Linked DNA regions of Daphnia pulex. The protein of the gene in region 2 interacts with the protein of the main gene of each other region in a biochemical or structural test. Links are inferred from orthologs where the notes say so. Each region holds a gene or a part of one and is shown on either strand. Other genes may lie near its edges. The genes, in order: OTU domain-containing protein 5-B-like and E3 ubiquitin-protein ligase UBR5-like.

Region 1 (7,201 bases), on a different chromosome or scaffold from region 2:
CACACTCACACACACACACACTCTACAGTTTTTTTTTGTTTTCAGGGTGGGAGAAGTGTCGTCGACCGGACCCAAACGCCGAAATCACAGACACACCACACTCTGCAGGCCACACATAAAAGACTGGAAATTCTCTTGTCTGACCGTCGAGGGCGCCACTGCGCCTTCGTGGCCCCCTGGTGTTGGCTTTTTTCAATATGGCCGATCTGTGACGTCAACGAGCAAGTCACCAATCAGAAGCGAGCTGAACCCAGTCTATACAGTTTCCCCTATATTCCATTGCAACCGCATTTTCTAGCCAAAAGCGGGCTGAATTTCCTGCCCTCTCTGGCCCAAAAAATATATAGAATTCTTTTCTCGTTGCGCTGACCATGAGCATGGCCGCCTTTATGAAAAAAAGAAAATCGGGCCACGTTATTTTCCGCAAGCGCGCTGCTCCACATATTCATCAAATAGTTTACTGCATTGAGTTTCTCTCTTCTAATACACAAATGTACGCACATCCTCGCCTTGATTACAATACCGGCAGTCTGTTTGTTTTCTTAATTTATTTGCATAAAGCTTATTTTTTGTCTCTCATTTTCTTAAATTTTTCGTCATCATCAAATAGATTTATATCTGCAATATACGGGCGAGAGATAAAGAGAAGAAAGCCATTGACCTTTTCTGACATCAACCAAGAGTGTCAAGAGCAGAATAGGGAAGAGAGGGATTTAAAACAAATACACACGAAAAGCACAAGAGGTCAGTGATACAAGAAAACATATGATTTAGCTTTCAACAGACGGAATAGCTTGACGTGTTTCTATCCTACAACTAGTAGAAAAAGCTAAACGAAAACAAAAACAAAAGAACGTGACAAACGAGAAAAAAGAGTGCGAGTTATGGCCATCACATCAGCTGCTGCCAAGGTACGGGGAGACGTTAGTTAGTTCCAGCATCCGCAAAACGAAATGGAGAAAACCACGACGAAAGATATTCAAAGGCACCAGGAGGGCAAGAGGAGCATCCGCGGCTATTTTGACAGAAAAGCTGTGTAACGAATTATTACAATCCTCATTTTTTTTTTTTTTTTTTTTAAGTGATTTCTCCCTTTCTCGCTTCACTGGACTTTGAACGCGGATGAATTTTTTTTACATGATTTGGCAGCCAGTTTGCGAGAATCGGCAGTGGAGGAGACGGGGGTACAGGCAAGTTCAATCCAATTGTGTCAGTCAGACGTCATTGCGAGTCTAAATTTAGACCGAGAATCAAAGATTAACAATTTTGCATGGAAAGGACTTTCTTCTGACTCCTCCCCTGATACACGCCTCTTGAGCTCCCTGCCACTGACGGGGGGAAAAAAAAAGGAAAGCTAACACGTAGACAAAACAACTGAGGAGTCTGGGTTAACTATTGTTAGTCCCGTTCGCACTGGTCAGGTCGTTGGTTGGATCTGTCGTCATACTGTCGCGACTGCTCTGTTCAACCGGCTGCTCCTCTTGCTGCTGTTTGGTGTTATCCATCGTCTCGTCGTCGTGAGGGTCGATGGCTTCCCTGCTCTTTTTCAACTTGTCCAGATACTCTTGTTGCGATGCAGCCAGCACTTGAGCCAAAAGTCCAGCATCCTCCCAGTCTGCTAAACCTTTAGCCAATTTTAAAGCATAAAATTAAACTGAAAATATCTGTTGATATAAACGTCAGTTACCAAACATGTCAGGAGGCAACTGTCCCAGGAATGAAGCCGTTTCAGCCAATTCAAAGCCTGGCCCCAATCCCCAATCGGGTTTACTGGTGTTCACTGGGTTTGAACTTGAAGTACCAGCGGCCGGTGACGCGATAGGGCTAGTTGATGCACCTTCACGACTACTAGAGGTTGTGGCGCTGCGTGAAGTGGACGCTCTCGGTGAAGCATTTGGAGACTTCCGCTGGTGTTCAACAAAAGATGGTTTGGGCGAATTACGAGCTGAAGAGGACGTCGTTGCTGTTGTTCTTGGGGAACGGAGCTCGCAGGCATTCGAGGAAGTGGTTGCCGAATGACCGGACCGTTGCTGCTGTCGACTGCGTCGCTCGTTTTCTCTAAGCCAGTCGAGGTAACTTTCACGGGCAACTTGCTCTTCAATAGCTTCATTTGTTGCCTCCCAATCTGTGGCTTTAACTTTATCTTCTAACATGGCTTTTTCAATTAAGGTCTCTTCACTTTGTCGCATGGCATCACCCATTAATTTCTTGTCTGCTTGACCAGGGACAAATCCTGGCAATCCCAGTCCTACTCCCACAGTGGCTTTGTACGGATCAACCAAACTGTTGTAGTGCACTCCACGATGATAAGACAATCGAATAGGTTCGTCATCAGTCTGATGTTTACCATGGAAAATATTGATCGGCTCTGTAATGGGTTAAATTTAAGTAAGCCTTCTATTTAGCGAATTTTATCGAAATGATAAGGGCTTACCGACGCTGTAGCAAAATACTTCAATATGTCTGTTGTACATTTCGCTCATAGCCTGCATCTCAATGTGATTGCCATGTACATTTTCCAATCTTTTTCTACTCACATAGGCGGCAAAGTCTTCAGTCATATACTGTGAAAAGTAGTCTCCGTTTGCGTCCTTTTATGACAAATATAAATATAGACGTAATGTTTCAAATTCATAAAAATACAACAGGACAATTACTTACAATATAGTCCATACAATGTTTGCGAACCATTGAGTGCATTTCTTGATCACCGTAGATTTGATCAGAAACGGCACGAAACAAGCAGGCTCCGTCTTCACCCATCCGCTTAATAATAAAACCTCGTTTCCGCATCTTTTTCTCAAACCATCTTTCCTTCTAATAATCATATTGGCATTGATGGAGTTCTATGAATAACACTTCTGTCTTAGGAAACATACCTGTTCCCATTCTTCTTCAGAAATGGGGACATTAGAAGATGAAGATCTTGCAGGTCCATATTCATCTCCACTGTTATATCCACTTCCTGATTCATCTTCATGGGAAGAAGGATCTGGTACTGTATGGCTTGGTGTGGGAGAACTTCCTGAGCTGGATGAAGAGGCAACACTGTGCATGGCTGAACTAGTACTAGGTATGGCAGAGGTTGATGAATTCCTATCTCTGTGCTTGGGGCGGACAGCTCTAAATAAAAAAAAAATATGCCTGTCAAATTTCAATGCAACAAAATAATAACTGAGATTAAATACCTATGGGGACTGACTCTCATTCTTCTTTTTGTTTGACTAGGACCACTCTCCAGGTCATAATCTTCATAGCGAGATGATGACTGGCTGCTGTGTCCGTGGCTGTGGGGATGGCTTGATGATGTTCTTCCAGACAGCCTAGACACACTGCAAGTTTCTGCTACCTGTAAAATTTATGTAAAATACATTTTAATAAGAATCAACAATGCTGACTTTTTGTCATCTTTGTCAATAATAGTTATCAATACTATTTGCTTTTATTCATTGAGCACTGCCTAAATGGCAAGGGTGTAATGAACAAAGCACCATTTGCTTCTTGTACATAAGTACTGGTTGTAGCTGGACCGGCCATTTTGTGTGGTTGTTTCAGATGTCAATTAGAAGATGCACTGAAACTTCCAGCCATAATTTCTTCCAAAGGCTGTTTAAATACTGGGGTATATTTATAAAAATAATTTTTTTACCTGTGGTACTGGTCCAATGTGTGAAAGGTGATTATTGCTCCCAACTGAGAGGTGTTGTAGGGGAGATCCATCAGTATTACTTTCGGATTCCGACCGTGATTGAGATGACTTCTTTTTCGGCAGAATTGTCATGATGCTTGTGCAAAGATCACTCTCTTTACCGAAACGCCCTTGAAATGTACTCTTCGACGATTTCTTTTATCTATTCAACGAAAAAGACAAATTTTCCACTGAAAGATGGCCGTGTCTATTTTTCTGTCTAAATTATTTAGAGGTTGCCATGTCGATGAATAAGCGAAAACATAGAGTTTCAAAATGTTTCAAATTTTCAATGGAATGAATTTTCGGAGTGATGCTATGAATAAAAAACATAATTTTTCATGTTTGCAAAATTGTGTTGAAAAATATTTTTTAGCTAGCTTCTAGCTAATATGTATTTTTCAATTTCCGAATTTTTGCTCGAAGAAGGCAACCAAGGATGTTAATTGTATACGAACATTCTGTCTGCTCTGCCAGTATTGTGACATTGACTTCGTTTTGATCGTGTGTCTGGAATTTTACTTTTTAAGTGAAACATTGCATAACTTCTGCCAGGAAGGAATAAAATCACCCTGCATATACCTTTCAGGTAGGTGAATTAATTATTGTAGCATTATTGTAGAACCTGTCGTAGGTTCCTTCTAGCATGAAGTAAGAAAACGAGCAGAAGATGTAAAGCACAAAAAAAATAAAAATAAATACAAATCGACCGACAGAGGGTGTTGACCGAGCTCGAGTTAATATTTCGCTCAAGGCGCAGTAAGTGCCCTTGTCTCAAGTAGTTTTGAGTTTTATAATAACGCGAAGGGACAGTGAGTAGAGTCAGTGGCATCTGGCCTGTGCGAACGCTGAAAATTACTAAACGAAAAATTCTAAAAGAGTAAACAGTTGCATCAGTCCATCAGACACATCCAAGCATAGTGGCAGTCAACATGGATAGCCAAGTACTGCTGGTTGTCACTGCTTTGATTGTGTACATTGTTATGGCAATTTGTGCTTTGATTCCAGTCTGCATTGTAGCCAAGAAATCTACCAAGGACTGCAACTTTAGTCGTGGTACAGAAAGAATAATTTCATTCTGTAATTCCATGGCTGGTGGAGTCTTCATCGCAATGTGCTTTCTAGGACTACTTCCTTATGCGCAAGACAAGACGAGGAAAGTGCTTGCAGACCTTAATATAACAACTGATTTTCCTGTTGCTGAATTCACATGCATTTTAGGATTTTTCCTTATCATGTCAGTCGAACAGCTCATTCTTCAATGCCAAAATTCAAAGAACAAGACCAATGGAGACTGGGAAGTCCCAATGGCTTTTGACGAAACTGATAGATCAAGTAAACTGAATTATTATAACACAGTCAGAGATGAAAGTGCTTCAGAAGAACTGCTTGGCAAAAAAGCATTAGAAGCAGTCTCACCAGAGAGTCCTTCGATTCTAAAGGAAATCAACATCCCCAGGATTTATCAAAATGTTCCTATGGTCACCTTTAAGGAAGAAGATAGCGATGAAGCACCTAGTCCTAAAAAAGTTCTTCAATTGGAACCAGCCCAAGGCTGCAGCCACCATCAAGTAGAAAGAATTCTCAAGAACAAATCTGGGGGAACCCTACGCCTAACTCTGCTGTACATGGCTATTAGCATTCACTCATTATTTGAAGGAATGGCCTTGGGCTTGCAGACAGAACAAATGAAAATCTTTCACCTGTTTTTCGCGATCGTGTTTCATGAAGCCCTCATCGCCTTTTCAGTTGGTATCACAATGGCAAGACAGCAATTGACTCTCCAACAAGGAGTCAAATATATTCTCATCTTCTCACTGGCTGTCCCTTTGGGGATTTGTCTTGGACTGGTCGTTCAACAAGCTCCCGGTACTGGTGGATCTGTCGCTTCTGCAATATTTCAATCTCTTGCAGCTGGGATATTCATTCACGTCACATTCCTCGAACTTATTCCGGCCGAACTTGCTAGTTCGAAAGACAGAATGGTTAAAGTTGCATTCCATTTCCTTGGATTTATAGCAATGGCGCTTGTGACCATTACAATGGGATCGCACCATTAAATCCGCAAAATTCGTTCTTTCGTGATGATCTTCATTTGTTTACATACTCTCTCTGTTTTTCTTTTACTCCTCGTTGACTCTGGCATGATACTATTGTCCACGCGTTCTCCAATTTTGAATTTGATAATCTTGAAATTTTTTCATGCTGTTTGCTTTTGTTTCTTGAACACTAGTCGCCTTGTGAGTTATAAGATCTAAAAATAAGTGCAATCAAGAAAAGTACGAGGAAGGCGGAAATAAAAAGAAACTTAATCGAAAAGATGCAACTGTTTTGATGAAAGCACACAGCTACATTCACAAACATTTAAAAACAAAATCTGTATACGAATTCTAGTCTTGCAAAGAGGAAACCGCTCACAACTGCATTCGGAAAAGATAGAGAAGTTCGTCGATTGGAGCCATGTCGACTTCCTCTTGGGATTCAGTGCTGGGTTTTTTACCGAGTTTCGGAAAGTGAACGGCCCCCCGCAGTCTGTTGCGGTTGACGACTGTGATTCTTTTGAATTGGGCCGGGGCGGATGTGGCATTAGCTTGCGCTTTACGTTCGCGCTCCTCCCGATGGGCTGTATCTCGCTTTATTTTCTCGAGTTCCATAGTCTTCTTTTTGTCAATCACTACTTTTGCTATGATTTTCTTGAGCATGAGAGGATCGCAAGCATCGACCATCTGCAAGACGTAGTAAGCATAGCGTTCGAGAGCGGCCAAATTGCTTAACGCATCACAACTGCTGCTTTTCGGCGAAATGAATTGCTTGTACATGCTAAAAGGAAGATTTGACAGAATGTTATAGAACTAACGTAAATGTGAAAATAAGTAATACCGGTGAATAGTGGCAAATATTTGGTCATTTAAACCGGACTGCATTCCACCCCCACTGACACAATTCAACGTGTTTGTTGGCGTTATTTTTTCCAAATTGTCTTCGCTGACATAGCTTTCACTCTGTTCGTTGGCGGAGTCGCAACAACAATCCATCAGTTGGCATGCTTGGAAAACCATTCGCGATTGGGCGATAACATTGCGTTCCTTGTGAGCCAAGCGACAGCGAATCAAAAAAGGATTTTGCATTACTTCAACAATCTTATCATCCTCGTCTCTGGACGTAGACGTGGACTGTCGAGCGCTTCTGGGTGTTCGTGGTGAAACCTTGTGAGATATGATTTCACTGAGGAAGGATCGATGCTCTTCTAGACCATCGAGCCAATGCTTCAACTTCGCTCGTTTTCGGATCAATTCTTGGTAGAGCATTCGGCTTGTTTGTATCTCAGCTTCCAGAATTCTTCTACGTTCAGCTACGAGCCTACCTTTTTTCTGTAATTCGAGAGTTTCCTGGTCATCACGAAGTTGACGTTGATGACATGAATGAGCTCGGGCAGCTACTTCATCAGATTCACGCCTCAGCCCTTCTCTCATTTTTGTTCGTCTCTCTTCTACTTCTTGGCACGCTCTTCGT
Region 2 (6,608 bases):
AGACGAGCATCGCGAACTTGTGACAGACGGGGTGGACCGTGACGTCGTGACTGATCTCCTGAGATGGAGCTGCGATTTCGACGACGTGCCTGTACAATAAATTAACTCATTAATAATCCCAAGCAAGCTGAAAATCAGATGACAAATACAATGAAGATAAACAAACAAATTATTACAATTCCTGATTGAGACTGAGAAGCTTTTGATCCAGCTCCAACTTGGGCAGCGTCCAGATTTGGCAATTTTTCTTGCGAGAGAATGGCTTCAGCAATGGCTGTATAGAAGCTGCGGGCTACTCCAGATCCTTCGCCTGGCTCGTCTTTGAACGTCACTTTAACTCTACTAACGGCCAATGGAGGTTGCGTGGCCGTTGCACGTCTGCAATGGGTGTTGTATTGCGTATTGAGTTCCTTGAATGTCTGCGTAATGAGCATTCCGCGTTCACGATCCATTTTAAACAGTGTCAAGTCACGCTGCTGCATGTTCCTCAGGCGCTCCATTTCGCGACGGAAACGAGCTTCTTTGACTGGGAATCCACCGAGCTCAGCAATGACCGATCCAGCTTCCGTTCCGACATCGTCAATAAAAACGCGACCAAACAAGTCTAATGTCAATCTCCAGCGCCCCAACAGCAAATCGCTTGAAATTAACTGGCTCACATTCGGAGTGGAATTTTTACCCATCCAAAAGCTAGAAGCGGATGGTGCCGTTTCTTCCGTTTTCTCTCTCGGTACGGTAGACGGAGTACTGCCTGCGGTACTTGTGCCTGCAGGGGCATTGTCTCTCACAGTGCCAGTCCGAACGATAACGCTCTGAGCAGTGGCAGCAGCCCGTCGGGGTGACACAATGACGCTGCTGGCCACACTTGGACTGACACGGGCTACTTCAATCACTTCAGCGAATTCCGAATCTTTCAAAGACAAATTCTGAGGAGTTTCCTGGATGACTTCAGAAGTTGAATGAAGTGGAGGAAGTGTTGGTTGTTGTGGATTCAATGGGGTCGCCACTAGAGGGGGAACTGGAGCTTGAGCTGGATCCGTTTGTACCTCCGGTGTCCTTGTAGACAGTCCTAAACGAGTAGGTATAACTTCAAGAGGATTGGTCGAGCCAGGTGGATGATTTCCTGATGGCTGGATCGTGATGGGTTGGCGAGGAGCGCCAAAAAGTTCTTCGCGGCGAGCAGATGGTTGCAGAAGATGCGGTTGGTCCGCCAGAGGCAACGCTTCAATCATCGGTAGAGCAAACGGATCCGGCTGTGGGCATCCCAAACACAACGTCGACTCGGAGCGACGGAAGAATGGATGCTTGCGACCACTTTGCCGGACTACAGCTTCTTCTTCGCCACCAACAGATTCAGTGTCCATGGCTCCCCCGGTTTCTTCATCCATATCAGCATTTTCGTTTTCGTCCTATAAATCCCATTTTGTAATTTTAGAAAATGTGAAAAAAAAACTACAATGAATTCATTAAGACTCAATGTTATCTTACCGGTTCGTTGAACATGTCAGCGATGTACTCTTCACCACTACCATTATCACCGTACGGGTTGGATTCATTTCCCGACCGCATGTAATAAATAAGGGCATCGAACACATAGGCAATGTGCTTCAATGACGAGACGTCAATAACGGGCAGGGTGTCGGAATGCTCGCCATTGTGAGCCCGCATAAGTGAAAGGCAGTAATTCAAAAATTCGCGCCTTCCCGTCAAGGGATCCGGCACTTCGTTGCCCCGTTCTCCGCCAGCACCACCAGCCTGTCCTCTACGGCCGTCGTAAGTTCCAGGTGCAGCTCCCGAACCAGCCAGTGCAGAGGCTGCCGAACTTGAAGATGCGGCCGTTCGAGAGGAAGGTAAAACTGAACTAGCAGTAACCATTCTAACCAAAGTAAAATGAATTAGATACTCATAAATCGGAACGGGGGGGGGGGGGAAATAAAAAAAAATCAATACCTTGACAGCGGTGTTCTTCCATACAAAGTAATATGGTTTGAAGGTGTTCCGTTCGGTGTAGAAGCGTTGGATAAAGCTACTCCAAAGCGTAGCTGAGCTTCGGTCGAGTCCATGACGTTGACCAGCCAATCCCAGACTGGCTTCAACCTGAATTCCAAAAATTGTTGCAGCTGAATGGACTCTTGGTTGGTGATGTCCAAATTTCGCGAAAGGGTGGGAGCAAGTGCCGGATAATCCAAAAGCATCGTGAGCAGGTCTGCAATCTGACGAACGACCAGTCCAAAAGCCCGAGCTAATCCGCTTGCTGTAGTAGCCATGGAAAAGGGTTCCGGTACCACGGGAAGTGTAGCTGTGGCGGCGGCAATTGCAGCAGCAGCCGCAGATCGGCGAAGAGAAGTAGGTTCTAAGTACATCAAATTGGTGGTTGAACCACCGACAGCGTTTCCACTACCGACGGCCCCATTGGCGCCAGCGCCACGTACGGCATTGTTCTCTCGATGGCGAATGGCCCACATCATCGATTGCGGAGCCATGCCAGAGGTACCACGGACAGGGGCAGCAGCAGTGGCGGGTACGGCGGACGAAGGGTTATTATTGCGGCGTTCCAGTTGTTCGTCTGAGAACGCAAATTCCTCCGTATCTTGTTCGTCCGTTTCACCACCGTCCGATTCATCCTCTTCTTGACCAGTTGAATCGCCAGATTCATCATCAGAGAATAACGCCAAGGATGCCATGGCCGCATCGGAACCGGCTGTAGCTCCTGTCTGCACACTACGTTGGACCGAATTGTTGTCCTACAAATATTCAAACAAAGTAATACAAAATTTAATGAAAAAAATCCGTTCATTGCTCAACTTTTAAACACCTACCTGAGTGTGAGTGCTCTGATTATCGTTATCATGTTCGTGCTCGTTGTCATCCGAGTCGCTTTCGGTCTCTGCTAGGAGGTCCAGCTCCATATCCGATTCACCACCAGCATTTTCTCGTCGACCAGTTCCATCACCGCCGCGACCATTGCCTTCGGCATCTTCGTGTTCTGAATTGTCCGCTTCAGCATCGCCGTCACCTTCTCCATCGCCTTCATCACCTTCGATGGTGTCTAGTTCTTCAGACTCCATACGGCGAGTGGTGGCACGACCACCACCTGCAGCGCTGGAACCAGCACCGAGCGATCCAGTTGGTACAGAAGAGCCGTCCGCGTGTTCTTCGTCGGCTGCTCGGGGTGTTAGCGGTTGTAAGGGATCGACGGAAAAGAGTTCCTCGCTTCCATGAATGGCGTCGGCGTTGGAAGTCACCAACGGAAATGGGACAGTTGGACGGGCGACACCTAACCGGACGGGTACGATCAGGGCATCAGCTGCTTCGCACAGTTCTTCAATGGCCAGATTAATAAGAGCCTGGAATACTCGCTTGCATTTCATCAACGGCTGTGAAGTAACACTGGCACTGGAAGCATTATTCTTCTTCTTTCCAGACTGAGGAGCGATCTCAACGCTAAAAACGACAAAGACCCGGACGACCGAGCGCACGAATCGCCTAGCAGCAAGACGAGCTTCCTGTTGTCTCGACCACCAAGTCTTGTTCTCCATTTCAGCGATGAGCGTAGTCAAAAGGCTGTCCAGCATTTCAACCGAACATTTGACTAACATGCAGTGAGTAAATTTGTCCAATAAAGTAGTCCCACTTTGGCTTTGAAGATATGCTTGATCTTCGGCGATGGTACTGGAACCGGCAACTGTTTCCTCTTTGTAGCCAGAGAGCAACATGGCTTTAACTGATGACCAATCATTCAAAAGTCTATCCAATGCCATTCGGGAGAATCTCGGTGGTTCTAGATCGTGTTCAGGCATATCTGGTTCCAGTTCAGATGTTAAAACTTTTCTCGAAGCGGCGATTCCAGTTGATCGGGAACGGGCGGGTCTGTACTGTCGTTGTTCAGCCGACTGACGACCGACTGTCTGTACAAGGAAAAGCAGTATGTTCTCTCCTTTACTATTGGGTATGTTCACCAGATCCGTCTCGTGGACCAAGCGGCAGAGTAATTCGAATCGAAGTTTTTGATTGCCTACAAATCAAGATATAGAGTTAATAATCAAAGACTTTAGTAGAAATAACATTGAAATGAATTACCGGCAACCAAAGCCTTGCATTTACACTTTTCCCAGCAGTCACAATAAGCGGTGGGCGATGTGCGCTTGAGCTTGCAATCGTGACCCTTGTGACATACGCGGGCGCACTCGGTACAACAGCAAAGGGATCCCGTAAGGCCGCATGTTCGGCATTCAAAGATATCCTGATTAATGTGTTCGGCTCCGGTCCAAGTGAAGCTGCACGTGTCGTTGCTACAGAGAACATGGAGCGGTGAGTCATCCGGGCTGCAGCCATTCTTGCCCAATGGAAAAATGAAACTCTGCAACAGCTTTTTCTGAGCGTCCACTTCCGTTGTAATCTGTCGAAATAATCTAGTGGCCACATCTAGCAAAAGTAATGCTGCGGGGTAGGCACGAACGGCAACCGCTTGCATGAACGGTGTGTGACCTTGAGCGTCACGCGCGGAAAGGAGTGTCTGTAGATGAGGGGTCAGAGCTGGACTCTCGGTGATGGCCTTCAACGCGGCCAAGGAATTGGCACGTCGTTCAACAGGGTCGGAAACGGCAGCAGCCGCCATTTTGGAGGAGCCACATGCGCCGGCACTGCTCGAGCCAGCTTGATCGTCATCGCCGTGATTGGACGATTCCAAAGACATCGGTTCCGGTGGCCAATTGAGCGTCGGAATAGAAATGTTTTCTTCGACTACGGAACTACTACTGGGAACTCCCGAATCGGCTGTGGAACTTTCCGATGGTCGAGCAACAGCAGCACGCCTCATCATCTCTCTGAGACTTACAGCCCGGGAGGAAGTGCTCAAACCCACCGGAAGGGGATCTAGAGGATCAGCGATGGAGTTGGCGACGGGTGCTACATTTCGCTCGTCTTGAACGTCCGCATCTTTGTTTGAAGTTGGTGAGCACATGGATACGCAGGCGTGGATTACGTTTCGACCACCATCACAGCGTTCGTTGACGATACTCTGGACGCCGGAAAGGCGATAGGCTTCTGAAGACGTTTCTAAGCAGTTCATGACGTGGCGAACGCCATCGATATCGCAGGCCAGCAACTTGGGCATTAATAATTGATTTTCGGTGACGAGTACGAGTAATATGGCTTGAGTCTTCTGTCCAGGACCAACCCCTTGCAGAGAATGGGAACCGAAACCCAGGCAGCGCATTGGTGGCAAATCCAGCAAATGCGGATCACGAATAGAATCGAGACAGTCACGTGACAAAGGGTAGATTGTGCCATTTCCATCACGGAGCAGAGTCAAGGCGTCACCATCTCCTGTATTGAAGAGTCCAATGTTTCGTCCGACGTTGAGGCCCATGAACGAGGTATAGTCCGTTGGTATATTCGATTCATACTCGGCTTTTCCCGTGCTCAGATTGTAGATTGTGTACTTGAGCTGAGAGCCAACTTTGTTGACCGTGTGAATACCTTGTCCGTCTACTGAGAAGGCTAAAATCTGTCCGGGATCGGCCAACGTCACTCGTCGCGGGAGTCTTTGGAAACAATCAGGGATCCGGATGGATGAGCCCGATTTTACCACCTAAATAGAGAAAGAGTAACATTAGATTAGGGAAATTTCGTGGATTCAAATATTCACAATCGTCACTCACCTGCAATTCGTCTTTACGCAATAAACGGCAATCTTGTAGAAGCGAAGCAGGATCTTCGCTGCCGCTATTTGCCGGCACAACTAAATCTTTAGCTTCCTTGCCGCTGTAATCCTTGTTAGACGGAAAACGAACAGCAGCGTAGGCGCCGTCCACCTTGAGGACGCGGCCAATGGGCACATTCTTAACATCTTCGATGAAAATGACATCTTTTAACACCCATTCCTCTTCGTCGCCACGTTTGTCTTCGCTATCGCCGCGCGGAGCTGGTCTCTTGTGTTTCTTTTGTGAGCCTCCTGCTACGCTCCCCGTTTCGCTGCAAGTGCTGCTGGCTGGCGATGGAGGAGGAGGCATGTCAGGTTTTTCGACAACCGCCTCACGAGTGCTCGATGTTTTAGAGGTTTCGGCGTTGCTACTGCTGCTACTTCCACTTGCAGCATTGCCACGTTTGCTGTCACTACTACCTCCGGGTGGAAGAGGTGGAGCTAGGCGGACCAAGGGAGGGGGTCCTGGGACGATACGGAATCGACAAGTATCAGTCCAGCTCCATGCTGAACCTTGCAGCTGACCGACTTTCGGCACACCATCGATGATTGAGAATCCAATGGCTCCAGCTTGATACATGGGACTACTTCTCATACACACCTGAAGAATAAAATCAACCATAAGCTTTAAAAAATGATAACAAAGAAATAGCTATTTCGTTATTTACCTGTGCGCCAGTAACGATATCGGAACCGGAAGCTGAGCTGCTGTGGCTCTTCTTAGCTTTGGTTCGGTATTTGTCCCAAAGTTTACGGCGTTGGCCTGGTGGCAATACGCCCCACCAATAAATGGCTCCATTTTCTAGTCGAACAGCCGAGTAGAGTGAACAGGTGTCGAGTGAAACGATTTTTTCGCCGTGAAATTCAGAGGGGTGCTGGGCAGCATGTTCAAGTCTTGTGATAC

What was found.
Region 1: the proteins of E3 ubiquitin-protein ligase UBR5-like (region 2) and OTU domain-containing protein 5-B-like form a complex in vitro, tested with the Homo sapiens proteins (2 studies listed by BioGRID, with this or other methods). The link is inferred for Daphnia pulex from reciprocal best matches to the Homo sapiens genes UBR5 and OTUD5.

What each region holds. Positions count from the first base shown.
Region 1 is NC_060018.1:2,563,099-2,570,299, forward strand, and holds OTU domain-containing protein 5-B-like, read right to left. Parts: upstream 3,933-7,201; 5' UTR 3,782-3,932; coding exon 3,650-3,781; intron 3,350-3,649; coding exon 3,189-3,349; intron 3,124-3,188; coding exon 2,880-3,123; intron 2,818-2,879; coding exon 2,662-2,817; intron 2,592-2,661; coding exon 2,435-2,591; intron 2,369-2,434; coding exon 1,688-2,368; intron 1,625-1,687; coding exon 1,389-1,624; 3' UTR 530-1,388; downstream 1-529. Other genes in the region: zinc transporter ZIP1-like, read left to right, coding at 4,621-5,748; uncharacterized protein LOC124208638, read right to left, coding at 6,103-6,508, 6,569-7,201. UniProt on the Homo sapiens protein: Deubiquitinating enzyme that functions as a negative regulator of the innate immune system. Has peptidase activity towards 'Lys-48'- and 'Lys-63'-linked polyubiquitin chains. Can also cleave 'Lys-11'-linked ubiquitin chains (in vitro).
Region 2 is NC_060021.1:11,106,077-11,112,684, forward strand, and holds part of E3 ubiquitin-protein ligase UBR5-like, read right to left. Parts: coding exon 6,373-6,608; intron 6,306-6,372; coding exon 5,664-6,305; intron 5,594-5,663; coding exon 4,081-5,593; intron 4,016-4,080; coding exon 2,820-4,015; intron 2,745-2,819; coding exon 1,951-2,744; intron 1,877-1,950; coding exon 1,489-1,876; intron 1,410-1,488; coding exon 177-1,409; intron 90-176; coding exon 1-89. UniProt on the Homo sapiens protein: E3 ubiquitin-protein ligase involved in different protein quality control pathways in the cytoplasm and nucleus. Mainly acts as a ubiquitin chain elongator that extends pre-ubiquitinated substrates.